2 linked regions of the Ovis aries genome follow. The protein of the gene in region 1 interacts with the protein of each later gene in a pairwise test. Links are inferred from orthologs where the notes say so. Each region holds a gene or a part of one and is shown in the gene's direction. Other genes may lie near its edges.

Region 1 (15,100 bases):
CCAAATTTGCCTTCTCATCCCTAAAACATAGGCCTCCGCCGCATGGGACTCGGGGAGCATCAGGGGAGGACAGTGAGGCAGTAGAGGCAACACTGCGGCTAACAGAAGGGCAGCTTCTGGAGTCTGTTCAATGGGGTGAAATCCAAGCCCTGCCCCAGGGTCACAAACCCTCTCTGACACGGGCTCTAGAGGCCTGGACAAGCCGCAGCCGAGGCCGAGCGCTTGGCAGGGTGACAAAGCTCCAGAGATGCTGCTCTTGCTAGAGATGGAACCAGCTTACTGCCTTGCCTGCTCTCTGGTTTTCTTTATTTGGGGAAGGGCGGGGAATTTAAAATGCAGGAAGTAGTTTCACACTCTTCCCAGAGCTTGAAGCAGGATGACCATAGGGTAACTGGTAAGATAATCACTACGGCATAGTTTTAAAAGTGAAGTAAAAGTTGCTCAGTCGTGTCCAACTCTGTGCCGCCCCTCTGTCCGTGGGAGTTTTCCCGGCAAGAATACTGGAGTGGGTTGCCAGGGATTGAACCCAGGTCTCCTGCCTTGCAGGCAGATTCTTTATGGTCTGAGCCACTCTAGCCGCAAACTGCAGAATCTTCAGGAAGCTCCTAGCCCCTTGCAAGGCTAGTTCAGAGGAGCAGGCAGAAATGGAAACAGGAGAAAATAACATTGTAGAAAAACAGAAACTTTTTAAAAAGAAGACAAAGAACTAGCTTTCCTCTTCCAGAAGGCCTGGCTGTGGGGGCAGGGCGGGATTCACTGAGTCATTTAATGCACTGGAACATTCCCACATGCTGCCTTTTGCTTTCATACTCTGCTGGGTGGGAATCCGCCCTTAGGACCCACGAGGGAGCAGCACGAATGTGGATTTGAATGCCATCTCTGCCTGTTAATAGCTCTGGTCTGTAAGAGGTCCTGTAATCAGCCAGAGGAGTCCAAAGGAGGGAATTCTAGGTCCCTGCCCTGCTGGTTGGTGTTCCCAGCTTATCTCTGCCAGCGCACGGGGCTGCAAGTCTTAGATTCTGGTGCTAATGGTCTGCCCCGGGCCATGGTAAGACTTTCATGGGCCCCTTCCTCTATCAAAAGAAAAAAATTATACTCTATGACTGCATTGCTAGAAAGACAAAAATAATTCAGAGTCACATTCTGATTTTTTAATTTATTTTTATTTTTTGTTGGGCTGGATTGCCCTTGCTGTTCAGGTTTCTCTCTAGGTGAGATGAGCGAAGGCTTCTCTCGAGTTGTGGTGAGCAGGCTTTCCACTGGGGTGGCTTCTCTTGTGGCCCACGGGCTTCAGACGCTGTAGCTCCCAGGCTCCAAAGCACAGGCTCAGTAGCTGTGGCACCCGGGCTTCGCTGCTGTGCAGCATGTGGGATCTTCCAGGATCAGAGCTCGAACCTGTGCCTTCTCCACTGGCAGGCAGATTCTTTACCACTGAGCCACCAGGGAAGCCCCTTATTCTGATTTTTAAAAGAGAAGTAAAACATTTCATTCATCCCCAAAGCATCATGGGCCCTGGACACTGTACCTCATGAATTAACCCCTTCTGTGCCCCTCCCCTCCCCTTACACACACAGAGAAGAGCTTGCCATCCAGGTTGACCTTTACATTGGGCATTACTAATTTCCAGTCCAAAGCGTAAAGTGAAATAGCTCATGTTGATTAGCTGGTTTTCTGAAGAAAGACCTTTACTGTCCTTCCCAGATGCCTTCCCACGGGCCCTAACTTCTCAAAGCTCTGGGCAGATGGCTTGACCTGCTTTGCAAGGAGAGGGTGGTCGTGAGGGCTCTTCCCTAGCCCCTCATCTTGGTTCCTGGTCTCCTCGGGCTCCCCTGCCTTGCCCACACTCTGGCTTTCTGTCCCCAGGAACACCATGGAGGCCCTGCCAGCCTGTCTGCTCCGGGACGTGATCCAGGATGCCCAGGGCGTGGCTGTCATAGGCATCGACGAAGGGCAGTTTGTAAGTTGACTTGTCCTGACATTGCTCTTCCTATGAACCCCTTTTTCCTCTGCTTGTTTGGAGGTTATTGGTTCTATTTCTGATCTTTAAGTAGGTAAATATTGTTAAGTTAATTTGCTTTAACTAGTATCTGAAAACACTTTGAATTTCCCTTACTGCTTTCTGTATTACTGAGTTGTTTTCTTTTTTTTTAAACATTTATTTATTTGGCTGCTTGGGTCTCATTCAGTCTTCATTGCAGCATGAGGGATCTAGCTTCCTGACCAGAGATCAAACCTGGGCCCCCTTCATTGGGAGCACAGACTTTTAGCCACTGGACCACCAGGAAAGTCCCTCTGTTACCGTTCATGGAACTTATTATACCTTAAAAAAAAAAATTACGATGAACAAAAAAATTTGATTTCTCAATACCAGAAAGAAGGGTTTGGTTTGGTTTGGCTCAATGATGCTTCTTGCCTTTTTTTTTTTTTTTACTATTTATTTATTCATTTGACAGCACCACGTCTTAGTTGCGGCGTGTGGGATCTAGTTTCCTGACCAAGGACTGAGCCCGGGCCTCCTGCATTGGGAGCATAGAGTCTTACCCGCTGGACCACTGGGGAAGGGTCCCTCTTGCTTGTTCTTTATGGGTTTATTTTTCCTCCTACAGAAATACATCCTTTAGTAGTTCTTACAGCCAGGCTGTGTCGGTGGGAAGCTCTCCGTCTTGATGTGAAAATGGCTTTGTTTAGTTTTCTAGTTTTAGCAGGGTGGCACGTGCCCAGTGTTTCCCCTTATTGCTTTGGAAAAGCAGCAGCCCTGCGCCTTAGAGCTCAGGAGAAGGCTTCTCTGATCCCTTTCCTGGGCCGGGAGCCTGTCTGTTCTTTCTCAGAACAGTGTGGTCCAGAGAGGTCTTGTTTGTATTTATCCTGCTTTATACTGGGTGTGGCTTACTTAACAATCTACTCTTGAGTTTTTCGTTTGTTTTTGCTTTATTGGAGTACAGTTGATTTACAGTGTATTAGTTTCAAGTGTCCAGCAAAGTGAATCAGTTATATGTGTACATACATCCACTCTTTTTTATTGACTCTTTTTCCATATAGGCCATTACAGAATATTGAGTAGAGTTCCCCGAGCTATGCAGTAGGTCCTTGCTAGTTATCTGTTTTATATATATAGTGTGTATATGTCAATCCCAATCCCCTAATTTATCCTCGCCCACCTCATGAGTGATATCATTTGGTATCTGTCTTTCTCTGGCTCCAGGTCCATTCACGTCGCTGCGAGTGGCATTATTTTGTTCTTTTTTAATGGCTGGGTAATACTCCATTGTATATACGTACCACATTTTCTTTAGCCATTCATCTGTTGATGGACATTTGGATGCTTTTGTTTGAGAATCAAGAATCAATTCTGTAACTTCCGTTTGTCTTTCTGGAAACCTCTTTTTAAAGTTGTTTCCAGCTCACTCTGCATCCAAGTCATTAGGAGTGTGTTCTCTGGCTGAGCTTGTGGGTTGTCTCTTGTGATCTTAGTTTCTCTCCAGCGTTTTTGCAGTGTTTTATTTCTTCAAGTGTGTCTTGAATGGATGAAACTAAAACTCCCGAGGGAGTTTACTTCAACCCCCACATCCACCCATTACGTTAGGTAACGTGAGCGCCTATGACAAATGTATATCAAGTCATCAGTGGTGGGATGGCCTGCCAGTGAGGCTCCTGTCTTCACACGTGACTTCCAAGATCAGTCCGGTAGCTGCATGCTGACAGTAGAGAGGAGACAACCCGGAGGTCCCAAGAACCTAGTGGGTCCCTGGGTGGTTTCCATGTGCTGGGGTCCACATGCGTGCCTTGCCTCTGCTGCCTCCTCACCTCTGGAGTTTTGGCATATGGTTCCCTTATCTGTACCTTTGGTCCAGTGCTGTGCCCTGGAGGAAGAGGAAATAGAAAATTAAGGAAATACTTTTCTTTGTTAGGTGAGTGGTTAGCAATCTGCCTGCCCTGCCTTCCAGGTCCCAGGGCAGGGTGGAGCCAGTGGCTTGGGCTGTAATGTCCTATAGGGATGTCTCAGGCTCTGTTATGGTGATCACAGCTCCATGCTTTCCTCCCACCTGAGACTGGGGATCCTCTATCCCCACCCTGGGTGTATCTTTCGGTGTGTGCCTTCTGGAGATGGACTACCAGCTGCCCGGACCTGCTCCGGGAGCCAGGCTGCATCCGTCTATTCACCCACCTTGTTGTGACCACTCCATCTCTGACCTCAAAGATGGTCAGCTTGCTTCTGAACACAGCTGTGTCTTAGCTGGCCTCTTCATGCACACACACACGTACACTTCTGTTATCATTTGTGGCTTCATGGTGGAGGGACTTGGGGTAAGAGGGGCTTCAGGGTGAGAACAGGGCTGCAGCTCTTCCCTTTCTCTTCTAGACTCTGATCTCCAGAAGGCTCTGGGGAGCCTGGGTCGATTTTGGGGGGTGGCTCTCAGAACAAAAGCTTCCCTGGTGGCTCAGAGGTTAAAGCGTCTGCCTGGAATGCAGGAGACCCAGGTTCGATCCCTGGGTAGGGAAGATCCCCTGGAGAAGGAAATGGCAACCGACTCCAGTACTCTTGCCTGGAGAATCCCATGGAGGGAGGAGCCTGGTAGGCTACAGTCCATGGGGTCACAAAGAGTCGGACATGACTGAGCAACTTCACTTTCTTTCACTTTCTTTCTTTCTCAGAACAAGGAATGTGAGCTTTGGGGAGGCTCTCCCGTCCTTCAGGCCCAGTGTGTGCCTGCTTACCACTCTGCTCCCTAGCTGTAAGTAAAGTGTCTTTTCAGGGCTGAGCTGGACACCCTGGCAGGGACCTTCCTCTCCTGACACCTCCTTGGTTGAGAGCCAAGTGCCCTGGTTTGGAGCTGGTGGGCCACCGGACCCCCAGTTCTGTTCCCTGTTTCTATGGCTGCTTCCTCTGGCCAGTGAGTCACAGCTGAGTTTCCATCACAAGTATTTATTAAACGCCCTATAGAAACATCGCCAGTCTTCTGTTCTATCCTCACCCCTGTGGGTCTTGCTTAGCAAGAAGTCTGGAGGCTGTCTCTCAACGTGGGACCCGACAAAAGGACTGCCCTTCCCTTCTTTCATCCTTCCTGTGCAGACGGGTTGTCGGGGAGGGGTGTGTCTGAAGTCCCCAAGCTATCAGCTGAGGGTACAGTGATAGGTGGGGAGCTGGCTCCTGGGCACGCCAGCCTCGCGGTGTCACTGAGTGCCGGTCTTATCTCTATTTTACCACAAGTAGGAAGGGGGGTCATCTAGGAAAAGTCAGGAAGGGCTATACCTAAGAAGAAAGTCCATAATTGACTACTAACGTCTTCTGTCCAGAGACTACCAGGAATAGCCCCAGAACTGAACAACTGGGGATTGTAGTTGCAGGGAGAAACTGGCATGAGAACTGGGGGGATGTGGGTGAGGGCTTGGTTATTAGGAAATGGGGGCGGCGTTGGGTCATTCCTGGGAGGGTTTTGGAGGCCGGTTTGGCTCTTGATTTGGTGTCCTAGGAAGGGTGATGATTCTGACCAGCATCTTAAATGTCACCTGTAGGGAGGGTGGACCAGGAGGCCGAAGCAGCAGGGGTCACTCCTTTAGCCAGGAGGGGGGGACATTTGGTACCCCATAGCCTAAGTGATGCTTACGTTCTATCCGCGCTCAGACATGGTTAGGGAGGGGTCTGGTTTGTTTGTTTTGACCATGCCACACAACGTGTGGGATCTTAGTTCCTGGACTAGGGATTGAACCTGGGTCTATGGGAGTGAGAGCTCTGAATCCTAACCACTGGACCCCCAGGGAATTCCCTAGAAGGGGTCTGGTTTTGTCCTGTGTGACTGGGCCAGAAGCTCATGAAACTAACTCTATGAAATCAGTTGTATGAAATTCTGTTCAGCACAGCAACCCCAAGGCCCACTGTGAGTGCAGGCAGCTCCTGCTGCTGGCCTGCCCTTCTCTTTCGCTGCCCAGAAAAACAAAACAAAAATCACAGAACATCTTGGTCTGGATCCTTCTAGTCTCTGTACGTATATATCTATTTATAGATCGGGTTCATATCACGTGTTGTGACCGTCTTTCCACATCAACAGACACCTATCCTTATGAATGTACCGTGTCTTGCATGACCCGGCCCCTTGGGTATGGCACTTAAAGGCTGTGATGCACATGTGAGTGGACATTGGGCTGTCATCTGGTGTACTGGGGTTTATTTGGTGTATTGGAATCACTGAAAAACAGAGGGGCTGGAAAGAAAGTGGGGTGAAGTTCCCAGGCAGGAGTGTGTTCCAGATCAGGGGCTTTGGCCTGGTCAGCCGGAAGGACTTCAGCATTCACCCTGGGAGAACCTGGAAGCCGCCCAGGACGGTCGTCTGCTGGAGGGGCATGGATGGACTGCAGGAGCGGGGCGGGGACTGCTGGGTCTCTGCAGACATCCCCCGTGGAGGGCCGGGGGCGGGGGCTGCACACACATATTCTGCTCTGACTGCCTTTCTCTTTTCTTTCTGGGTGGCTGACATTTTCCCTGTATTTCTCCTTTTGTAAAGAGCCTCCTCGTGGTTTGTCTTTCCTCTAGGTCATGTGATATAACCAGCGCCACTTTGTCACATGCTGTAAATAATTCTTCCTGGTTTATTTGCCTCTGGATTTGTCTGGGCGTCTCATTTAGTCTTTACCATTCGTGGTGGAGCGGCTGGATCCTTCACTGTCACATCCTTTGCCCTGTCCCCTCTTGTGGCCTCTGCAATCTTCAACGCCAGCCAGGCTGCTAGGAAGCGAGGTCTCCGCCTGGGCAGGGCTGGGGTGCTTCCTTCGAGCGTCACGAGGCTGCCACCTCTGGGCAACATGACGACAAGGGCGAATCTCCTTCCTGGCTGCCTGACCTCCGCTTCCGCCGCTTTCGGTCCTACCCGCCCCCATCATACCTCGTTCAGGAAGCGGCTCTCGGCAGGTCAGCCCTGGTGCTGGGCCGGCAGATGAACCACATGGGCAGGCTTGTCAGTGTCAAGAAACCCCACCTGTTGCTTCTTTTCTCGCTGGATCCCCTGTGGTGATCATTTTTGTCTCCCAAGAAAACTCTGCATTTGCTAGGTCCTCTGAAGTCCTGCTTTAAATGTAGCCTGTATTGGGGTCTCTGGCTGCTCTAATGTGCACTGCAGACCAGGCAGTTTAAACCACAGACATTCATTTCCTACAGCTCTGGAGGCTGGGAGCCCAAGATCAAGGTGTGGGCAGGGCAAGTTCCCCTGAGGCCGCGAGGGAGAGTCTGTCCCAGCCGGTCCCCTCGGCGTGCAGGTGGCCATCTGCTCCCTGCCTCTTCACATTCGTCTTCTCTGTCTGTCCCTGGGTCCAAGTTTCCCCTTTTCGCGAGGACACTATTCCTACTGGAGTGAGGCCCACCCTACACGCCTACTTTAACTGGATGACCTCTGCAAAAAGGTCACATTCTGAGGTATTGGGGGTCAGGGTTTCAGCATAACAATTAGGGGTGGGTGGGAGGGTTCACAAGTCAACCCATAATATAACCTAAAAAAATGAGTGGCGATAGAAACAAATGTCAGTAAGGTGGTTGGTTACCAGTGGGCCTTCTGCGATGTTGCAGACAACGTGGGCAGCTCTGACTGTACCTTGGATCATTCAGGAACCCCTGCTGGGCAGCTCTGACTGTACCTCGATCATTCAGGAACCCCTGCTGCAGGCCCTGGGTTCAGTGTTTGGGCAGAGAGTGGGGTGGCATGTGAACAGGGCGCAAAGTTCAGGTGGAAGAACTGAGCTCTCTGACCGCGGGCATCACTGTAGCAGGCAGGGTGGAGGACCCCTCGCGGTCCCCAAACCCTGGTGTGGAGGGACCATGTCTGGACAGGGAAGGTAAGATGAAGAAGGTGCTCCTCCCAGGGTGGTTCTGCTCTCAACCTTCCCCGTGGATTTCTGGCAGTGTCTAGAAACAGTTTTGTTTGTGACAATGGGGGTCGGGTCGGGGCACTGGCCGACAGGTCCTTACAGGCTAGCGGCTGCATTTCTGTGACCTGTGACAAGTCCTTTAGAGAAAAGGAGGGGCCTCACCTAGAGCCAGGCTGGAGCCTAGGGGTGGGAGGTGCCATTTCCATAGTGCAGGCTCGGCAGACCCTGCAAACCCTGCAAACCCTGCAGAGGCCAGTCAGATCTGGCTTTGGTGAATCCTGCTGGAACTGGTTTGGGTTCTCTAAGCCCTGTCCTGGTCCTTGTCTGGGTGAGCCCTCGGGTTTTGTAACTACGCATCTCCACGAGTAGCTTGGAGAGAGACCCTTTGCCCAAACACTGGAACTCCCCACTTCATCCAACCCACAGACCAGATAGATGATTGACCAGTGAAAGGTCACCAAAGGATTTGTTTAAGTAGTGGCCCCTTGGGCCACTTGAAATGAAATTTGATTTACCAAGTAAGGACTTCCCACGGGTGGTGTGTTGAGCCATCCTGCTCTGTAAGTGGCCAGTGGAACTCCTGCCCCTTCTCCAGGCATCACACGGCACATTATGTTTAAAAGAAGAAAAAAATAAAAGCAAACACACAGAGCCTGCCTCTCAGCCAGATAGCATATGTAATAAATTATTTGCGTGTCCTTAATCCTTAAACATCGCCAGGGGCCTTCCTTGCCTTTTCCTGGGCTCAGGAACATGAAGTCATTGCCAGGGTCACAGCTAATGGGTCCAACGGAGAACCTGGTTCAAGCCTGAGGCAGCGGATCCAAGCTTTGGTCCACTGCAGTGGCAGACGGCCTCTCCACCTGGGTTGCATCACCCTGGTGGCAGTTCCAGGCGCCTAGCCTGGAGCGCAGCCTGGCTCTGCTGTGGAAAGTTGGTGCGATGGGGGAGTGAGTCGGGAAGCTGTGGATGTGCAGGCCGTGTACCAGATGGGAGGGCTGGCGCGGCCTTGTTCTCAGCTCCACGTGGATGCAGGTAGCTGTAGCTCCTGGGCCTGGCAGCGTGTCTGCAGCTCCTGGAAGGGGCTGCCCAGGGCGGAAGCTCACTCCCTCCTCCGCCTCTCACCCTTTCCTCTAGTTCCCTGACATTGTGGAGTTCTGCGAGAACATGGCCAACTCAGGGAAGACCGTCATCGTGGCTGCACTGGATGGGACCTTTCAGAGGAAGGTGAAGTGTCTGGTCCAGGTCTTGGGGTGGGACCGGGGACAGAGGCCCAGGCAGCGCACAGAAATGGACAGCCCAGGGCGCCCTTGATGCCCACACCATGCCTAAGCCCAGGCACTCAGGCCAGCCAGTCCCAGCTCCCTGGGGTGCCCCTGACTCCACCTGCCTAGGGCAGGTGCTCTGGGGAAAGGCAAGGTCCAGGCTTAGTTTCCTGGCTTCAGGGGTGTGAGTCAGGGTCTCCAGGAAAAGCCCACCCGGCGAAATGAGTGTGCACTCCTCTTTCTGTGGATTGTACAGGCTTTTGGGACCATCCTGAACCTGGTGCCCCTGGCAGAGAGCGTGGTCAAGCTGACGGCGGTGTGCATGGAGTGCTTCCGAGAGGCCGCCTACACCAAGAGGCTGGGCGTGGAAAAGGAGGTAGCTGCCCCCTGCCTTCTCCAAGGGATGGGCGGGTGGGGGGCAGGGAGGGGCGCCTACACCTAGAGGCTGGGTATGGAGAAGGAAGTAGCCGCCCCCTGCCTTCTCCCAGAGGCGAGGGGTGGGGCGCTGCGCCCCAGCCCCGCTCAGTCCAGGCGCTTCCTGTCGCACCGCACGTCAGGTCGAGGTCATTGGAGGAGCAGACAAGTACCACTCTGTGTGCCGCCTGTGCTACTTCAAGAAGCCCTCGGGTCAGCCCGCCGTGCTGGACAGCGAAGAAAATAAGGAGAACTGCCCGATGACACTGGGAAAGCCCGCGGAGGCCGCGGGAGTCCGGAAGCTGTTTGCCACTCATCAGATCCGGCAGTGCAGCCAGGCCAACTGAGGCACTGGCCCCTCGCTGGGGCGGGCGCTCACCCGCCACCTGCTCCCCCCACTCGCCCGCTGTCGCCCCCTGGCGGATGCCGGGCCTTCTTGGAGGAGGAAGTGGCGGGGGGCGGGGTTGGGGCGGGTAGAGGTTTCACCACCAGCAGTTGGCCTGCTGCTGCGCCCTTTCCCAGGCCAAGGAGGCGGCTGGTGGTCTGCACTGCACACTTCCCTCCTTGCCTGCCCACCAGCTTTTCTCAGTTCCCATCCCGGCTGCGGGGCGGCTGCGGGGCGATCGCAGTCTCCCCAAGCCGGAGCTGGCCGCCCTATGGGGCGGGGTCTGGCCGCTGCAGCCATCCCTCTTGGGGTGAGGCCAAGCCGCAAGCTGCTGTGACATCGGCGTCGCCGGCTTCTTCCCCGTTTGTGGCGTTTGCTGTTGAGTTTCTGTTCTCACTGGGAAGTCCATATCCCAGCACCTCTGGCTCAGCGTGGGCCTCTTCCCACGCAAAGACTTGGTCCCTCTGCCTGGGATGGGCTCCTGGCTGCCCCTGGGGATGGCTGGACTTCTTATTTCCTTTGGGGCTGAAAGCCCTTCCTGATCTGGCGATCATTTTCTCCGGAATTACAGCTTCTCCCATGTGGGTGACACTCACCCTGCTCTGGGGCTCAGCTCCCAGGGGCTTGTTTTCTAAGGAGGTGGGGGCTGTGTGTATGTGGAACTGATAACTAATATTAAAATCTATTGGTTGGTAAAAGCCTATTTCTCTTTTAACTGTCTGGGATTCCCCGGGTCTCACTATAGACACCTCTGACATGATTCAGGTATGGGGATTTCCTTTCAAATCTTTTTCTAGTACTCCTGACCCCTTAACCACAAATCTTTTTAACTGAGATATGAGCATCAAGTGTTCTAACAGGCATGTTTGCCTGCTCTTCTGCCTGGGAGGGTTTCAGGTCAAGATGAGTGGATGCAGGAGCCTGGGGCTTGGTTGGAAAGATGAAGCCTTGGTCTGTGCTGCCAGCTGGGGCTGTGAGGTCAGGTTTTATTTTGTGAAACAGACACTTGACAGTTCAGGAGCCAGGAAGACCAGCTCTGCCGTGCCTTGGGAAACGGGCTGTGGACAGCTTATGGGAAGGTGAGGGTGCTCCAGGGTGGGGTGGGCCTGGGCTGTGTGTTCCAGATGGGGCCCCAGTTCCCCACCCTTACCCCAGCTTCTCCCTCTCACTGGCTTGTGGCAGGTTACAGAGGTGCAGTACCACGGTCAGACCATAATCCCCAAACCCTATTAATTTTTACTTGGGGTCTTGAAACTATTGGGGTCCACTTTTGACAGCTCCCTCTCACTGCTCGAAAGGGGAAGCCCAGAGTTGCCTCGTGGGCCCTGGCCTCCTGCCTGAGGGGAGCTCGTTCCCTGGCGTGGGCTGGGCAGTTAGGTCGGCTCCCCAAGGGTCTGAGATGGGCTGCAGGGGTTCTGAGTCCTGTCTACAGGAAGCAGAGGACCCTTGCCCCTCCAGGGGCATGCCAGGACCCTGGCAAGGCGGCCCAGGAAAGCTGTGTTGTTTACAAGCTGAGCACAGTTGCTATTTTAAGATGCTGATGGAGGGCAGCGTGAGGCATGAGACCCCAGGCGGGGTGGGGGTGGGGGGAGTTGCTGGGCTGTGGAGGGGCAGGTTGCCACAACTTAGGTTCCAGAAGGCCTCAGTTGCAGCTTGCACCTTGCACCTCGGTGGAACTGGGAGAGGCCCCACTAATGACAATGGAGACTATGAATGAGAAAACCATTTATTCCATCTCCAGAATTAGTCTAACAGAATCCCAGGGTGCTGTGCGTCCTTCCCCCAAGGCTTTGTAATATACATTCAGAGCAGTCTTGGGGCTGTGGGTGCGTCCGGTACCTCCTGACAGACCTGGGATATTTACATAAAGCTGGGTGTTGTCAGGCAAAGCCCCTCCCTGTGGCCACAGGGCGGGATCAGAGACAGGGTCCCCCGGGGTGGGCACCAGCCCTGCCCCTCGGCTGCCAGGAAGGTGACCCAGAGGCACTGGCACAGAGTGTGACCACAGGTCCAAGCGAGCACACACTTCAGCAGTGAGCACAGCCAGCCGCCCACAGAGCAGGCAGGGGGCTGGGGCGGAACAAACCTGAGTGAGGAGGGAAGGAGCCCCGGCCCAGTGCCCACAGCAGGAGAGAGAAGGCCCCGCAGCCTCGTCTTTGGCAGAGAACCCGAAATGGCTGCCGCCACCGGTGCCTGGACATAGGCCCGGCTCCCGGGCTGGGGAGAGGCTAAGGCACTTGTCGAAAGAGCATGTCGGGCGCCTGGAGCTATTCCCGGTGGGGATGCCGGTCATTAAAAGCAACAAAATGTGTCTAGCTAAAAACCCTTTCCTAAAAAATGCCCTCGAGGAGTGGTGGGTAAAGCCCTTGGGGCACAGGCACTTCAGGGCTCTCTCTCCAGGCCCTGTGTCAGTTCGGACAGGCGCCAGGTGCATAGAGAGGGGCCAGAGGCTCTAGGAGCCAAGCCCTGGGGGAGGAGCCGGGGAGGAGGGGAGGCCCCCCAGGCACTCTCCTCCCTCCCCAAACTGTCCTGGCTGCAGCTCAGTACACAGGGGGCGGCTGGTAGCCCTCGGTGCTCTCGGCATTCTGGGTGAAGGGCGGCTGCTGGTAGGTGTCCGCAGGCATGCCTGGGTAGGAGGCGTAGGCCGTGCTTGGGTCCGGAGTGGGGTCCACGTAGTTCTGGATGAATTCGTCCACTCCAGCCTTGTAGCGCTGGTAGGCCAGGAAGGCCAGCAGGCCCTGCAGGGAGCCCCGAGGTTTGGGTTCCTCAGCCCTGCACCACCCTTCACCAGAGACACCAGGACCCTGGGTCCACTTACCCAGGAGAAGATGGAGAAGAAGCTGAAGGTGATGGCCGCCCGGGCTGAGTCGGCTCCTACAAGCACATCGTTCACCTTGGTGGCCGCCCACTGATTGGTGAGGAAGCAGAAGCCAACGAACCACAGGAAGGTCCAGAGAGCTGGGGCGAAGGCCGGGAGGGGAGGGTTAGCTCCACAGAGGGGCAGGAGGACAGGGGCCCCCTGGGAGCGAGAAGCCTCCAGGGGTGTAGAAGTGTGCTGATTCAGAAGCTGGGCTGGGGACAGGACGCTATCTCTGGGGCTCTGCTCCAAGCCCCACTCAGCTCCAGGGGATTTCAGCAGACGGTTAGAAATCCTTGTGTGCCAGCCTGACCGTGGGTGAGGTCAGGAAACCCGGGGCTGCTCCCACCCCTCCCCAGCCTGCAGTCACAGCCCCCTAGAGCTTCTGGGAACACTGCTGCTCCCGTTCACCCCAAGATCAAGTGGAGGTGCAGCCAGCTGGCCGATACCTGAGAAGAGCAGGTCACCAATGACCAGGTACTTGCGGTCAGTGGCATTGCTGATCTGGGGGAAGTAGATGTCGACCACGAAGAAGAAGGCTGAGGCCAGGAAGGCCAGCACCCCAATGGCGCTGCCGTAGCGGCACGCATCCTCGTTGCGGTTGAAGACGCAGTACTGCTGCTGGGAATCATGGGTGTTGCTGTAGCCCTCGCCGAAGATGCATGAGAACACGATCAAGGCGAAGACCTGAGGAGGAGGCAGGGGAAGGGCTGCGTGCATGCCACCCTCGTGGGCCACACCTCCAGGCAGCACAGGGAGCGGGACCCTGATGGGAGGGGACACTGGCCTCCCCGCTCCTGCTGTTCCCCTGCTGGAGGTCGGTGACCCAGCCTTTCCTGAACTTGGGGATCGAGTCCCCTCCCCACTCCCTTCTCCAGACATCTGTTATAAGGGGCATGGATTCCTGGACTGAGGACAGTGGGGAGTGCAGGGGGATCTCCTGGGAGGGCACTGCCCACCCCGCTGTCTGCCTGGGGGATGGCTCTGCCTGACCACTCCCACTTGTGAGTTTTAAGCAGGATGGCTCACAAAGTCAGAGTAACCCAAGCTTGGAGTCTCACCCCCTGATCACCACCTGCCTGAGTCACCTCTCCAGCGCCCAGCCTCTGCCTGAACACCCAGTGATGGAGAACTCCTCCCACTTCAGGAAAACCATGCCTCTGAACTGAAACTGTGTCCCCAGACTGCCAACTCCCACAGCCCCCTCCAACTCTTCCCTGCTCCAGGCTGGGCTCCCCAGTTTGACCAGTTTTCCTCCTACAAAGAATTCTGGGCTCTTTGGCATCCTGGCCCCTGGCCTCCCAGGGAATCCCTGTTGGCTTCTGCCCATAGCTGGTCCTACCCACACAGGCACCTCAGGTGGGTCTGCCCAGCAGGCTTGTGGACATAGCTCTGTACTCAGACCCTGGAGGCACTGGGGTAGGGGGTCAAGAGGGTGCAGCACCCACAACTCTGGGAGGGGCTCCAGGCCCTTGGGAACAGCCTCACATCACCTGTCTCCACCCCAAACTGAAAGGCTACCGCCCAACCCCGCCGTATGTGAGTCTGGACACCTGGCTCCCTCTGGGACTAGCCCAGACCTCTCCCCCGCCTGCCCTGCCTGTCTGCACAAGGCCCTCTCAATAGGCTCCGGAGCTGGCAGTCACAAGCCCCACCCCCAGCTGGAGATGAAGCCGGAACTCTGGATGCTGGGAGCAGTGTGCCAGCCTGACTCCTGGCACTGCCATCCCGAAACATGGGCATCTGCTCCTGGGGTCAGACCCCCCGGGTCAGGCAGAGTGCGGATGAGGGTGTCACCAGGGCAACTCACAGGGCTCCAGCCCAGGCAGGTGCGGGTGGCTACCTTAGGCCCAGTCCTCTCCCTGTGGGCTCCCTAACACCTTGTCCAGCTTTGAGCTCTGGTTGTCCAAGTGCAGGGGACCTCCCACCAAGCCCCTGCCCCAGTAACCTGGTGCTGGAGCGGCTCACCCAGCTCAGGGGAAGGGGCACAGACTACGGTCACTTGACCTTGGGTGGGGAAGCAGACCCATGGGCTTCTTTTGAGTGGAGGACAGGCTCTGTTTCAGGGAGGCCAAGCCTTCCCCCGAAACCCCCTGCACCCCACGTGGCTTCGGAAAGCCCCCCTCCGGATGAATTCCCCCAGGCTGGGAGTCGCGGCATGCTGGCCACCTGTCCTGGAGCCGCCTCAAACTCCTCCCACTGCCAGCAGGGCGATGGGCCTGCTCCCGGCGGCGCCTCCCGGGCCACCCGGTGCCCGGGCCCGGAGGTGGGGGTGGCAGGGCCCGGGGTGGGGGGCGGCAGGGATCGGAGTAGGGGGGCCGGCGG
Region 2 (15,017 bases), on another chromosome or scaffold:
CTCTTAACATCCATACATGTGAAAGTGAAGTGAAGTTGCTCAGTTGTGTCCGACTCTTTGCAACCCCATGGGCTGTAGCCTATCAGGCTTCTCTGTTCATGAGACTTTCCAGGCAAGGGTACTGGAGTGGATTGCCATTTACTGGAAAAACCATAGCTTTGACTAGAAGGACTTTTGTTGGCAAAGTAATGTCTCTGCTGTTCTATCATAAATTACTTATATATACATATATCTATGGGTTTGTTCCTGGATTTTCTGTTTCATTGGTGTGTCATTTCTTACTAAGTCAACTCTATACTGTCCATCACTGTGACTTTATAAGTTTTTCTGTTAACTCTAGTAACTTCACTTTCTCATTCTTCACAGATGTCTTGGTTCTTTTACACCTGTTTTCCTTATATTTGAGAGTTAGCTTTTCATGTTCCCCCATTTCCCACACACACCGATAAAAACCCCAGAGCTATAGACATATCAGTATCAGTTGACATTATCAGATTACCAATATAGAGATAGTTAATAATTTTCATAGTATTTAAATCTCCCATACAAAGATCATGTATTTAGTCCTTAACATTTTTCACTGAGGTTGATTCATTTTCTCCACAGAAAGCTTGCACTAACTTTTTTTAAAAACTACATTTCTAAATAGTTTTGCTAGTATTTAGACATGTGGTTGACTTTTGCATATAGATTTTTTTATCTGATGATCTCACTAAATTTTTATTTCATTTTTGGTCATTTACATTGCTTTCCATTTATTTATTTTTGCCACGTTTCCCTCCAAGTTTTATTGAGATATAGTTGATAATATGGTATTTAAGGTATAAGACTGATTTGATATATATGTTTATTGCAAAATGATTATCACCATTGCCTTCCATTTTTAAATGTTATAAATCTCTAAAACTTCACTATACAATACAGTAGCCACCATCCACATGTGGCTATTTAAATTATGTGAAATGTGAGGATTCCTGGTGGTCCCGTGTTTAGGATGCTGAGTTTTCACAGTGGAAAACCTGGGTTCAATCCCTGGTCAGGGAACTAAGATCCTGCAAACCACATGGCAGGGCCAAAAATTTTTAAATTATGTGAAATGTGAAGTCTAGTATTTCCCAGGATGTATGAGTAACTCTTAAAACTTAAGAATAAAAAGACAAATAGCCATTTAAAAATAGGCGAAATATTTGAATAGATACTTCTCCAAAGATGTGTAAATGACTAATAAGTATATGAAAAGATGTTTAACATCATTAGCTATTAAGGAAATGCAAGTCAAAACTACTTATTAGGATAGCTGTAAGAAAAAAGATAGTAATATAAGTTTTGGTAAGGATGTGGAGAAATTGGAACCCTCTAAAATTGCTGGTGAGAATGCAAAATGGTACAGCCACTTTGGACAAGTCTTTGAATTCACCAAAAGGTTAAACATTGAGTTACTTTATGGCCTGGCAGTTCTACTCCTAGCCATAATCCAAGAGAAATGACAACATATGCCCACATAAAAACTCATATAGGGACTTCCTGGTGGTCTAGCAGTTAAGAATCCTCCTGCAAATGAAAGGGACATGGGTTTGATCCCTAGTCCAGGAACTAAGATCCCACATGCCTTAGGGCAACCAAGCCTGTGTGCTGCACCCTGCTGAGCCTGCAACTACTGAAGCCTAAGCACCCTAGAGTCAGTGTTCCGCAACAAAAGAAGCCACCGCTATGAGAAGCCCATACACCACCACAGCTAGAGAGTAGTGCCCGCCCACTGCAGCTAGACAAGGAGAAAGCATGTGCATCACAATTAAAACCCAGCACAGCCAGAAATAGTTTTTAAATTATTTTTGGGAACTCATATACAAATGTGCCTATCAACGTTATTCATAACAGCCAAAAAGTGTAAATAACCCAAATGTCCATCAACTGATGAGTGGATAAATAAAATATAGTATAGCCATACAATGGAGTATTAATCATAAAAATGAAGTGCTAATAATGCTGCAACATTGATGAATCTCATGTGATGTACCACATATGATTCCACTTATGTGAAGTATGCAGAAAAGGCAAACCATAGAGACAGATAGTAGATTAGTAGTTGCTGGAGGTTGCAGGTGTGGTGGAATGGGGAATGACTGTTAATAGAAACCCCATACTTAGTGGGATTTCTTTTCAGGGTGATGAAAATGTTCTAGAATTAGATACTGGTGATGGTTGTACAACCTTGTGAATACACTAAAAACCACTGAATTAAACATTTTGAAGGGGTAAATTTGTTACGTAAATTACATCTGATTTTTTAAATTTTTTAGTCAAATTTAAAGGCTTCCATCAGAGAAGGCAGTGGCACCCCACTCCAGTACTCTTGCCTGGAAAATCCCATGGATGGAGGGGCCTGGTGGGCTGTGGTCCATGGGGTCGCTAAGGGTCAAACAACTGAGCAACTTCACTTTCAGTTTTCACTTTCATGCATTGGAGAAGGAAATGGCAACCCATTCCAGTGTTCTTGCCTGGAGAATCCCAGGGACGGGGGAGCCTGGTAGGTTGCCATCTATGGGGTCACACAGAGTCGGACACGACTGAAGAGACTTAGCAGCAGCAGCAGCAGCAGCAAAGGCTTCCATGATAGCTCAGTTGGTAAAGAATCTGCCTGCAATGCAAGAGACCATGGTTTGATTCCTGGATCGGGAAAATCCACTGGAAAAGGGATAGGCTACCCATTCCAGTATTCTTGGACTTCCCTTGTGGCTTAGCTGGTAAAGAGTCCACCTGCAATGCGGGAGACCTGGGTTCAATCCCTGGGTTGGCAAGATCCACTGAAGAAGGGAAAGGCTACCCCTTCAGTATTCTGGCCTAGAGAATTCAGTCCATGGGGTCACAAAGAGTTGGACATGACTGAGCAACTTTTACTTTACTTCGCTTCAGTAAAATTTAAAACTCATTTCGTGTGCTTAGTCGCTGAATTGTAACAGATTGGCCAGTGCAGAAACAGAATATGTCTATCATAGCAGGAATCGAACCATGGTCTCCTGCATTACAGGCAGATTCTTTACCAACTGAGCTATTACGGAAGCCTTTAAATTTGACTCAAAAATATAAAAAATCAGATGGTAATTTACATAACAAATTTACCCTTTTAAAATGTATAATTCAGTGGTTTTTAGTGTATTCACAAGGTTGTACAACCATCACCATTATCTATTGGACAGCACTACTCAAGAAACATTTTAACTTAATTCACTGGGCACATTTCATTTTTCAAATCATTCAGATGACCCATAAAAAAATTATTGTTATAAAAATTCAAGTATTTGAAAATCCCAGATCCCATAGACTGTCACCTGTACCAGTACTTTATCCCCAGGTAAGAATTGTTATCTGTTTGCTGTTTTATCTTTCTGAATGCTTTTCGTACTTTTACATAGATAGGTGTATCTGTAACTAGTTTATAGTTGTTATCAAGTGTTCCCATGATAGTTTGGTTCTTGATTTCTTGGAAATTCTTATGTATAAGTCTTTCACTCAATTTTTCTCATCTAGGTGATGCTGGGAACAGAACTCCAAAAGACCAGAAGGTAACTTGAAATGAGTAAGAGAAGGATGAGAGAGAAGAATATGAAGATAGAAGAAACTTTTGGCCTAACCGTTAAGTCAGTTCAGTCATCAAGATATAACCAGTCACCCTGAAGTCAGCCCCATGGGTTGCAGTTCTCTAATGAATGTTATAAGAATACAAAAGCTCCTTATAGATACATGCACTGAATGCTGTATGAATATAGAATTTGGCAGTGATAAGCTAGATTAATTAATCAAGGAAAGCTTCCTAAAGCTGATTTCTGAACCAGATTTGTAAGAAAGGGCAAGTTTTGCCTGATAGAGTAACTATAAGCTTCTAGAAGTAACTGTAAGCTTCTAAACATAACTCAGTCTGTTTCATTTTTTAAAAGACAAGTTGTTATTCTCAAGAAGCGGTGCTACTATTTTAAAACTTGTTTCTTTTGTCCCCTTCCTCACAGCTCCGTGAAGCTATGGCTGCCTTAAGAAAATCGGCTCAAGATGTCCAGAAGTTCATGGATGCTGTCAACAAGAAGAGTAGTTCCCAGGATCTTCACAAAGGTTAGAGTCAGGAGACATCTTGGTATAGGTGCAGGGGTGAAGTCCTACAGAGATTTCATGGATACTGTGTTTTAATGTTTCAGTGTCTTTCTCTACCTCTGTAGGATTCTTTTAATACCACTTGCTGTTTGCTTAAGTCTTTTTTTTTTTTGGCTGTATCACTCAGCTTGTGGGATCTTAGTACCCTGACCAGGGATCGAACCCAGGCCCACAGCACTGAAAGTGCGGAGTCCTAACCACTGGACCACTGGGGAAGTCTCTTGGCTTAAGTCGTTTGTCTGATGGCTTTCTACCATGTGATGGCTTTGTCCAAATAACTTTTTAGCTCCGTGCTCATGATATCTTCTTTCAGATGAAGGTTAAAGAAAACAGTAACTCAAACTGTAAAAAAGAGGTCTGAAGGAAGCTTTCTTTGTAGAATGCAGCTATTAAGAGATCCCTCCCAGGAAAATGATTTATAAAAGCTGTGCTGTGCTTAGTTGCTCAGTTGTGCCAGACTCTTTGCGATCCCATGGACTGTAGCCCGCCAGGTTCCTCTGTCCATGGGGATTCTTCAGGCAAGAATACTGGAGTGGGTTGCCATGCCCTCCTCCAGGGATCTTCCCAACCCAGGTATTAAACCCAGGTCTCCTGCATTGCAGGTGGATTCTTTATGGTCTGAGCCACCATGCTGCTTGGCATTTAATGAGTAATAGTTAATGTTGTTAATAAGGAGTCAGAAATATTTGGTTACAGTGAGATGGTCTTGAGTTACATGTGAATTTCAATTCATATTTTTCCTGTTAGCATAAAGAGCTGAGTCCACTGTGTCTTATATATCTGCCCTTGGCCAAGGGAGCAGGAAAATTGGTTAAGGATCAGTGATTACCCCATTTGTCCCAATAACCCAGTACCCTCTTTATTTTCCATTCTTTCCCCAATCTGTGCCATATCTCTTTAGAGCAACTTTGCTTTCTTCCTAGGAACCTTGAGCCAGATGCCTGGAGAACTGAGCAAAGATGGTGACTTGGTCGTCAGCATGCGCATCCTCGGCAAAAAAAGAACTAAGACGTGGCACAAAGGCACCCTTATTGCCATCCAGACGGTTGGTATGTTCAGGCTAGAGGGAGGGCTAATGCAAGAGCCTGCAGGCCACCATCACTGATCGTGTCTTTTCCCCAGAGCCTTTGGCTTTTGTCTCTCACATAGCAATCAGGATCCACACAGAAACTGATGGTTTCTAAAAATTTTTGTTTCTCTTTTCCGTTTGACTCAGGGTCAGGAAAGAAGTACAAGGTGAAATTTGACAACAAAGGAAAGAGTCTTCTGTCAGGAAACCACATTGCCTACGATTACCACCCTCCTGCTGACAAGTTGTATGTGGGCAGTCGAGTAGTGGCCAAATACAAAGATGGGAATCAGGTCTGGCTCTATGCTGGCATTGTAGCTGAGACACCAAACGTCAAAAACAAGCTCAGGTACCTAGACAGAAATTGTAAGGAGAGTGGAAGCCAGGAGCAGGTCATCTGCCCTGTTTAAGCCATAGTGCAGATCTCACAATTGGCTCTGATGTTCTTAGTCCTCAGTGGCTGGAAACTCCCTCTTTCCTTTGCCACAGAGTCATGTGGGTGGTTCTTTCTTGCTCCCTTCCCCCCTTTTTTTCCCTTTTCTCAAAGAGAAAATTTGGTCAGGGGAGAATAATCCAGATTGATTAATGGTTAGGGGAACAGAGAATTCATACAGAAGGAAGAAATGGAGACTAAATGTTTTTCAACAATGTGAGAGTCCAATAGTATAACAAGAATAAATCACTTTTGGGAAAGTGGGGATATGTTGGTTAGATTAAGAGAGAATTCTAATATTCTTTTCCATTGTGATTTATTACAGGATATTGAATATAGTTCCCTGTGCTATACAGTGGGACCTTATTGTTTATCCAGTCTATATATAATAGTTTGCATCTGCTAACCTAAGGGAGAATTCTTAACTCTTGGGGTGGAAAGAAAGAATAGTAGAAAGAAAACAGTACACTGGAACATGTTCCCTGGATTGTGTCTTGTTTGTGATCCAGAGGAATGGAAGCTATAATAATTTCTGGTCATGTTAAATATAGTAACCCCCAGTCTTTCTACCATCACTCTTTCCTTACAGGTTTCTCATCTTCTTTGATGATGGCTATGCTTCCTATGTTACACAGTCTGAACTATATCCCATTTGCCGGCCACGTGAGTGTCCCTCCTTTTTTCCTTAGCTCTTTTTGTTTCCTCTTCTACCTTCTATTTCTTAAGACAACCAATGGAAAAGCCCTAATGTTCTTGGTGTTTTAGTTTCAAAGAGCATAAGTTTGATTCATATTTTTTGAGAGATACAGTTTTATTTGCTCGTGCCTAGTGTTAGGTCTTGGCAGCCATAGAGTCAGACATTAGAAGATCATGACTGATTTTGAGTGGATGCACGTATTGTAGATGTGTTTTAGTTTCATTTCTGAGTGATTTAAGTTTGACAAGATGTTACTTCTCTCCTAGTCTCATGTTTAACATTTGTGTAAATCTGTAGTCTGTGCATTGCTTTCAGAGTGCTTTCTACAGAACCTGTATTAGATGGGGTCTTCATAGTTTCCCCTATACTTGTGATTCTGGCTTAGGAGAGACTCTTATAGAAGCAACTGTTTTTAGTTGCAGGAAGGTCAAGTGAAATGGCTGTTTCCACATAACATGGCAGTGAATACACTCAGGGTCCTTTGAAAGCCTGATGGAGCATGAGAAGGAAGGACAGGATTTTTTAAAATCAGTTTATGGTGCCTCCTGATTCTTTTTGATTTACCTTTAGGCTTATCAAGTAAGCAAGAATTTCCACTTGACTTTTCCTAAGAGGAAACATCCATTTCTAGGAAATGAGTGACTCACCTATGTTTACATACTGCTGATTCAATTAGTATTTGCAGAATTTGAGTGTGCATTTGCACCTTAGGTTCAGTACTTTTAAGTGGTCATGGTTTTGCTTCCCTTGAGGTTATGATTTCTTCATTTATTTTTTCTCTCCTTCCCAACTTGAAAAATGCCAAACATTTCCTTGTCAACCCTTTCCCCCTATCAAGACATGCCCTACCTGCCCTCTCTCAGCCCTCCTTCTTCCTTGGGACAGTGAAAAAGACTTGGGAGGACATAGAAGACATCTCCTGCCGAGACTTCATAGAAGAGTATATCACCGCTTACCCCAACCGCCCCATGGTGTTGCTCAAGAGTGGCCAGCTGATCAAGACTGAGTGGGAAGGCACGTGGTGGAAGTCCCGAGTCGAGGAGGTGGACGGCAGCCTAGTCAGGATCCTCTTTCTGGTACTCTTCTTAGGAGTCTTAGAGGCGGGGATTTGGGTGGGATGGGGGAGCATAGGATAACTATGGCATATGTAGCTATGCCATAGTTTTTCTTCTTTGTTACTCTCTTACCTATTCTCAGTTTTGGGTCATATTTTACTTTTTTTTCATTCCTCTATGCATGGTTATTAAAAATAAAGTCCCTGAATTTAAGACTCTAATCTGCACGATAGTGTTTTTGTTTTTGCTTTTCTCCAGGAGTATCCACAATGCATGTAGATACAGAGAAGGCTGCTAGTTCTGTTTTCCCAGGGTTATTGATAATATAATGGGACAAAAAAGAAGGATCAGTGAATTCTGAGGTGTTGATGATCTTTCAAGGCCCAGCTTAACTCTTAAATCTTCTCTACTTGTCCTTTTCTCCCCTCTCACACCTTTCTTAGAATTATATTTCTTCTCTGAGCTATCTCAGCCCTTTGATCCTAATGAACCTTGTTATATGTCTTATACTCAGTATAAACATCTATCTCTTGTCATTTTTTTAAACAAGAAATATGTGTTTTTGTTTTGGGGGGTTTTATTTTTGTTGTTTAATTCCTGATGCCTGTTGTGGAGCCTAGCACATAAATTTATTGAATAGATAGGGAATTGGGCGTTCATCAGGGAGATTTCCCCCAAGGGAGGCACATGGTATTCTTCACAAGTGGCAGGGTAGATTCTGGCCTTTAACCCATTCCCCTGCCGCCTTTCCTTACTTGCGATCCCCTAGGATGACAAAAGATGTGAATGGATCTATCGAGGCTCTACACGACTGGAGCCCATGTTCAGCATGAAGACATCATCCGCCTCTGCACTAGAGAAGAAGCAAGGGGGACAGCTTAGAACACGTCCAAATATGGGTAAGTCCTGAAAGCTATCTGGGAGAGGGAAAAAATGGACAAATCAGCAAAGAGGTATATGTACGATGGCTATATCCTTTGTTTACCAGGATGACGCTACTGCCACATTGAAAACAGGACATGTTCCTAAGTTTCCAGTAGTGGTGATGAATTTGTGTTGCTGCCTCAACATACTATGGCTCTGATTTGTTCTCAAAAACACATAAAAATCTGAAACAACTAGCTTAGGTTAGGGGTATTGTTGGTAGTAACTACCTCTGTTATTTACATGAGGATTATCTGCTTTGTGTGTGCTATCTGTGGTCTTTTTTTTTTTTTTTTTTTGGCTGCGGTGCTCTTCATTGCTCAAGGACTTTCTCTAGTTGCAGCTAGCAGGGGCTACTCATCATTTCAGTGTCCAGGCTTCTCATTACAGTGGCTTCTCTTGTTGCAAAGCATAGGCCCTAGAGCATGCGGGCTTAGTAGTTCTGGCTCCTAGGTATTAGAGCACAGGCTCAGTAATTGTGGCACACGGGTTTAGTTGCTCTGTGGCATATGGAATCTTCTCAGTTTAGGGATCGAACCCATATCCCCTGACTTCCAGTCTTAATTTTTATCCACCATGTGTGATTAACTTGTTTTAAAATTTTGGTTTTGTCTTTATATGTTCCTGGCATACGTTTTGGTTAATTTTTCTTGACAACATCAGTTGATCAGAGAATGTATTTTTGAAAATTTTTACCAGAGTATAACATAATTGGCTTCCCTGGCAGCTCAGTGGTAAAGGATCCATCTGCCAATGCAGGAGACACAGGTTCAATCCTTCAGTTGGGAAGATCCCCTGGAGGAGGAAATGGCAACCCACTCCAGTATTCTTGCCTGGGAAATCTCTCGGACAGAGGAGCCTGGTGGGCTACAGTCATAAGGTCACAAAGAGTCAGACATGACTTAGCAGTTAAATAACAACGACAGCAATAGAATAATTATTAATGTAAATTGTCCGAGGCAGGAAGATAAAATCTTACTATTTAAATGAAAGTCAGCCTGTGCCAATATTCCCACTCATTGGTATAAATAATGAGATCTAACAGTCTTAGCACTTAGAATATTTCCATTGTTGCTTTATTATATAAATTGAGAATCAAATCTGTGGATGAATATAAATGGCACAGCTCTTAGGTTCTCTATGGTCAATTTCCTTTTCTTACAGGTGCTGTGAGAAGCAAAGGTCCTGTGGTCCAGTACACTCAGGATCTAACAAGTACTGGAACCCAGTTCAAGCCTACGGAACCCCCACAGCCGACAGCCCCACCTGCCCCACCTGGTCCAGCTCTGTCCCCCCAGGCAGGTGACAGTGAGTGAGTGCTATTCCTTCTTTTTCAGCAGTTTCTTTTATATTACATTTTCTGTATCCCTTACTGTATGATCTCTAATCTCCTAGAAGCTTGGAAGGCCAGCTTGCCCAATCTCGGAAGCAGGTAGCCAAAAAAAGCACATCTTTCCGGCCAGGATCTGTGGGCTCTGGTCATTCCTCCCCTACATCCCCTGCACTCAGTGAAAATGCCCCTGGTGGGAAACCTGGGATCAATCAGACATATAGGTGAGAAAATCTCAGGCTCTCTGTTGGGAATGTTGGCAGTGTGGACTGAGTGGTCACTATATGGGGAGGTTCCTTGGCCACAAGGGGCCTCGTTAAGATTATGACGGTGAGAAGTTTGGACTTGAAAGCTTTAACCTTGGAATTTTCCAGGAAACAAAAAGTAAGAATAATTGAATTAGAAATTAGGTGCCTAGAAATACAATCACCAGAAAGTCATTTGTTAAGACTGCTTTTTGAACGTGGTGTCGTCATCGGTACCATAGAAAGGGAATTTGGTAGCCTCTTTCCTTGAATCCTGGGGGTCAGTACGGGCATTTATAGGAAACATAGCAGGGGAAACAACTAGCATGGATAGAAGACTGGATGCTAGTCCCACAATTCACAGGAAAAAATAAAATTCACAAAAAAGACACTGTTGAAACAGTTATTATCAGTTAATGAAGAGTAACCAGGGTGTTTCATTGTCCAGTAAGGCAAGAGGAAGTTTGACTTACTTGTGTCATCTTTAGCTTCAAGCGTATAGCTGTTTGACAGGTTAGAGAAGTGGTTTAGCCAGCTAATGGGCTACTTATACAGCATAGAGGTCCTGTTGCCTTCTGATCTGATCTCTTGCATCTCATTTTCAGGTCACCTTTAGGCTCCACAACCTCTGCCCCAGCTCCCCCAGCTCCCCCAGCACCCCCAGCCTTCCATGGCATGCTGGAGCGGGCCCCTGCAGAGCCCTCCTACCGTGCCCCCATGGAGAAGCTTTTCTACTTACCTCATGTCTGCAGCTATACTTGTCTGTCTCGAGTCAGACCTATGAGAAGTGAGCAGTATCGGGGCAAGAACCCTCTGTTAGTCCCACTACTCTATGACTTCCGGCGGATGACAGCCCGGCGCCGGGTCAACCGCAAGATGGGCTTCCATGTTATCTACAAGACACCCTGTGGCCTCTGCCTTCGGACAATGCAGGAGATCGAGCGTTACCTTTTTGAGACTGGCTGTGACTTCCTCTTCCTGGAGATGTTCTGTTTGGATCCGTATGTTCTTGTGGACCGAAAGTTTCAGCCCTATAAGCCTTTTTACTATATTTTGGACATCACCTATGGGAAGGAAGACGTTCCTCTATCCTGCGTTAACGAGATTGACACAACTCCCCCACCCCAGGTGGCCTACAGCAAGGAACGGATCCCGGGCAAGGGTGTTTTCATTAACACAGGCCCTGAGTTTCTTGTCGGCTGTGACTGCAAAGATGGGTGCCGGGACAAGTGAGTTGGTTAGGGAATTGTGGCCCTGCCTCCAACTTTGTTGTGGTTTCCTTTATTTCCACCACTTTCTTTGCCTTATACTGCACTTCTCCTTTCCTCACCTTCCTTGATCTGCTTTCTTAGCTGTAGCTCCTTCTGAAAGGCCTCCAGAGAGGCTGGGACCCCGCAGCATAATCCTGGGTACATGTTTAGATAACATTAGACTCATTGGACATAAACTTGAACATACTCCGAGAGATAGTGGAGGACAGGGTAGCCCAATATGCTGCAGTCCGTGGGATCACAAAGAGTCAGATACAACTTAGCAACTGAACAGCAACACATGTGTCTTACTTTTGTTTTTTTCTCTGATTCTCCTTTTCCTTTGCTTCCCTCCATCATGCATTCAGTTGCTAGTTGTGTCTCTTTATCTTACTTTGTCATATTCCTACTGTCTTTTCCTTTCTCATTTACACGTATGGGAGAAGAAAAAGAAATTTTACTACCCTGTCACCCTCCTTTTATCAGTAGTACTTCTTGCCTCTGAAGAAAGTCTCACAGCTCTAGTAGTTGAACCCTTCTGTTTTATACAGGTCCAAGTGTGCCTGCCATCAGCTAACTATCCAGGCTACAGCCTGCACCCCAGGAGGCCAAATCAACCCCAACTCTGGCTACCAATACAAGAGACTAGAAGAATGTCTGCCCACAGGGTAAGTAGTCAGGGGAAAGTTTAGCACCTCAGGGACTGAATTCTTGTTTGTCTGTGTTTGTAGGAAATAGCAGCATTATAAAATTGAAGCCAAAAACAAACCTTAAACAGACATTTAATCAATTAAATCTTACTTACCAAATTCCCAGCACATATTTCTTCCTTGGGCTTTCCTTGAAATGAATGCATATAATGATTGAATAGTATCTAGTAGTTTTCTGTTGCAGTAAAATATGACTTTGATTTCATAGCTGTATGATTATTCTAACAGATTGTGGTTTACTCTGGCAAGTGAGACATACTCAAAGAGGAGAAGTAGGCAGGGGCCTGATTTATAGGACTTTGTAAATCAGAATAAAAATTAGAACCAAATTCATGATGTGATAGGAAGCTATTAAGACTATTTTAAGCAGATAACCGATGTCTGCCTTTTAAAGATTACTCTAACTTCTCTGTGAAAAATAACCTTTAGGGCAGCAGCAGTAGACTTTGGAAGCTCAATTAGGTAATTTCAGGAACACAGGTGAGAAGTGGTGGTTGCTGGGGCTTGTCCTAGACTGAAAGTGGCAGTAGAAATGAGAAAGGATAGATACCACAAAAGAGAAATGAATTCACAGTGACTTCAGCCTTCTCAAAATAATGTTAGACACTAGATGGCAGTTGAGGAATCTATTCAAAATTCTAAGGAAAATGATTTTTAAAAAATAATTTTATGTGTTTATTTTTGGCTGTAGTGGGTCGCCCTTGCTGCGCAGACTTTTCTCCTGCTGTTGCAGGGGAAGAGCTGCTCTCTAGTTGCGGTGTATGGGCTTCTCATCGCCATGACTTCTCCTGTTTGCAGACACAAGCTCTGGGGCTCACAAGCTTCAGTAGTTGGCGGCACATGTGCTCGGGGGATGCACTTGGAGATAGAGCTACAGAACATGATAGATTGACTATGGAATGGGAGGGAGAAGAGAATCAAGGACAAGTCCTAAATTTTATACTTGAACAACTAGGTGTATGTTGGTTTTTGTACCAAAATGGAAGACTAGAGCTAGAGTTGCAGGTCGGAGTGAAATTCAGCTGTTCTGGCCACATTAAGTTTGAGGTGTCTGTTAGGCAACCCAGGTGGAAATGTCAAGAAGGCATTGAGATTTCTAGAGAGAACTGTAAGGACTGGCATAAAGAATTAGGAATCGTCAGCTCAGGAGTGGTAGTTACAACTTGGATGAGTTCATCTGGAAAGACCCAGAAGGTGCCCAGAAGTAAGTCCTGGGATCTGCAACTGGAAATTGGACAGAGGAGATAAAAACATGTGAGACTAAGAAGAGACATGAGATCAGCATGTGGGATTGAGAAGGACAGGTAAGGCAGAGAGAGGACTGAATAAAGTGGGATATAGTGTGGTAAGCTGGATATATATGAATATGTGACCTAATTAGCCTAGTATGTAAGAAATACATAATTAACAGAAAGGACAAAGAGGAAAGAATGATCAGTGAAATAATTCAGATGTTTCCCCATAATGAAAGGGTCTGTGTTTCCAAAGTGAAATCAAGTTCTAGCATAACAGATGAAAATAGATGCCCACTAAAGCACATGATAAAACGTGATCATTACATCCACAGAACACTGAGGACAAAAAGGAAATACTGAAACTTTCTACATAAGAGAAAGATACCACAAAAAGAATTCAGAGTAACTTCAGCCTTCTTAAAATAATGTCTATAGTTAGATGGCAATTAAGGAATCTATTCCCAATTCTAAGGAAAATTATTTATTTTATATATATATAATTTTTTTATTTTTGGCTGTGCTGCGTCTTCGTCACTGCACAGGCTTTTTGCTAGTTGTGACGAGGAGGGTGCTACTCGGGTTGCAGTGCACAGGCCTCTTGCCACGGTGGCCTCTCCTGTTGTCATAGCACAGTGTCCAGTGCGCGTGGCTCATAGTGGTTCCCGGGCTCTGGAGCACGGGTGCAGTAGCTGTGGTGCATGGGCTTAGCTGCTCTGTGGCATGCGAGATCTTCCCAGATCAGGGAGCAAACCTGTGTCTTTTGCTTTGGCTGGCAGATTCTTTACCACTCAGCCACCAGGGCAGCACAGGAAAATTATTCCTAACCTAGAGTTCTAAACCCAGGAAAGCTGTCAGTTGTGGGTTAAAGTAGGCTAACATTTTTTTAGACATGAAATAACCTCAAATTTTTCCTTTATTTCCCCTCAGAAAACTACTGGAAATGTTCTAAGTGAGGGGGAAAGACAAGAGAGAGGAAGGCACATACTGATCCGGGAAACAGTGGATCGAGCTCTAAAGAAGAGTGAGGGGAATCCCACATGATAGTGAAGTTAAGGGGGCTTCCAGGCTGACAGTTGTGCGCCAGATGTAGAGAACAGCCAGTGTGAGAGCAGGTCAGACTTGGCTGCAGGAGAAACTTTTGGGAAACGGGGTTTGATAGAAAGCCTGATGTGTCTGAGTATCATCAGAGGAAATCAGGACATAAATTTAAGCTGAATGCATATTGAAAACTGAGCAAAGGAAAACACCGCTATTAGCGTTAGCTACATTGTGTCATTGATGTTTTACTTGTAATAAAATTGAATCGTGTAACAATGTTTAGATTTGATAATGCTGTGAGTGTTCATTATAGCTTTTTTATAGGTTTGAAATGTTTCATAAAAGTATTTTCACATAACCACAAATATGTTCCTCCCCTACTTAAAACTCTTTAAGAGCTTTCCACTGCACTTTGGATTTTATTCTGACTCTTAATCTTGGATCACAAGACAGTGTACTGTCTGACCCCTTCCTATCTCTCTCCTTCCAAAACTGTTCCAGCCACACTGACACTCTTCAGTGCCTGGATCCAGTTCGCCCAGTGTTTGCCAGCCTACCTCGAGAGCCTTTGTACATACTGTGCCCTCTGCCTGGCATCCTTCCACTGTTGTTTGCATGCTTATCTTCTTTAACCTTGAGCTCTCTCTCAGCTTTGCTGTCATCTCCTCAGAGAGACCTTTCCTGGTCACTCTCAAACTAGGTCATTTTCACTCCTTTAATTATCTCATTCAGAGTTTGTCCTTTTATAGTATCTGTGACAACTTTCATTTTATTTGTTGACTTGTTTTTGGTCTCTTTTTCCATTAAGAGATAATCTCCATGAGGGCAGGAACCTTGTTTCTCTTGCTTACCGTTGTATCATGAGCAGATTTTTACCCAGTGCACAGC

The links.
Region 2: the proteins of TK1 (region 1) and SETDB1 interact in a two-hybrid assay, tested with the Homo sapiens proteins (2 studies listed by BioGRID and IntAct). The link is inferred for Ovis aries from reciprocal best matches to the Homo sapiens genes TK1 and SETDB1.

Annotation. Positions count from the first base shown.
Region 1 is NC_056064.1:53,312,272-53,327,371, forward strand, and holds the end of TK1 (thymidine kinase, cytosolic), read left to right. Parts: intron 1-1,863; coding exon 1,864-1,957; intron 1,958-4,428; exon of another isoform or gene 4,429-4,500; intron 4,501-8,991; coding exon 8,992-9,081; intron 9,082-9,375; coding exon 9,376-9,495; intron 9,496-9,676; coding exon 9,677-9,880; 3' UTR 9,881-10,616; downstream 10,617-15,100. Other genes in the region: SYNGR2 (synaptogyrin-2), read right to left, coding at 12,301-12,656, 13,225-13,462. UniProt on the Homo sapiens protein: Cell-cycle-regulated enzyme of importance in nucleotide metabolism. Catalyzes the first enzymatic step in the salvage pathway converting thymidine into thymidine monophosphate.
Region 2 is NC_056054.1:100,895,406-100,910,422, forward strand, and holds part of SETDB1 (histone-lysine N-methyltransferase SETDB1), read left to right. Parts: intron 1-3,528; coding exon 3,529-3,563; intron 3,564-4,004; coding exon 4,005-4,104; intron 4,105-5,066; coding exon 5,067-5,192; intron 5,193-5,359; coding exon 5,360-5,561; intron 5,562-6,234; coding exon 6,235-6,308; intron 6,309-7,227; coding exon 7,228-7,418; intron 7,419-8,166; coding exon 8,167-8,296; intron 8,297-9,485; coding exon 9,486-9,633; intron 9,634-9,716; coding exon 9,717-9,875; intron 9,876-10,501; coding exon 10,502-11,125; intron 11,126-11,697; coding exon 11,698-11,814; intron 11,815-15,017. UniProt on the Homo sapiens protein: Histone methyltransferase that specifically trimethylates 'Lys-9' of histone H3. H3 'Lys-9' trimethylation represents a specific tag for epigenetic transcriptional repression by recruiting HP1 (CBX1, CBX3 and/or CBX5) proteins to methylated histones.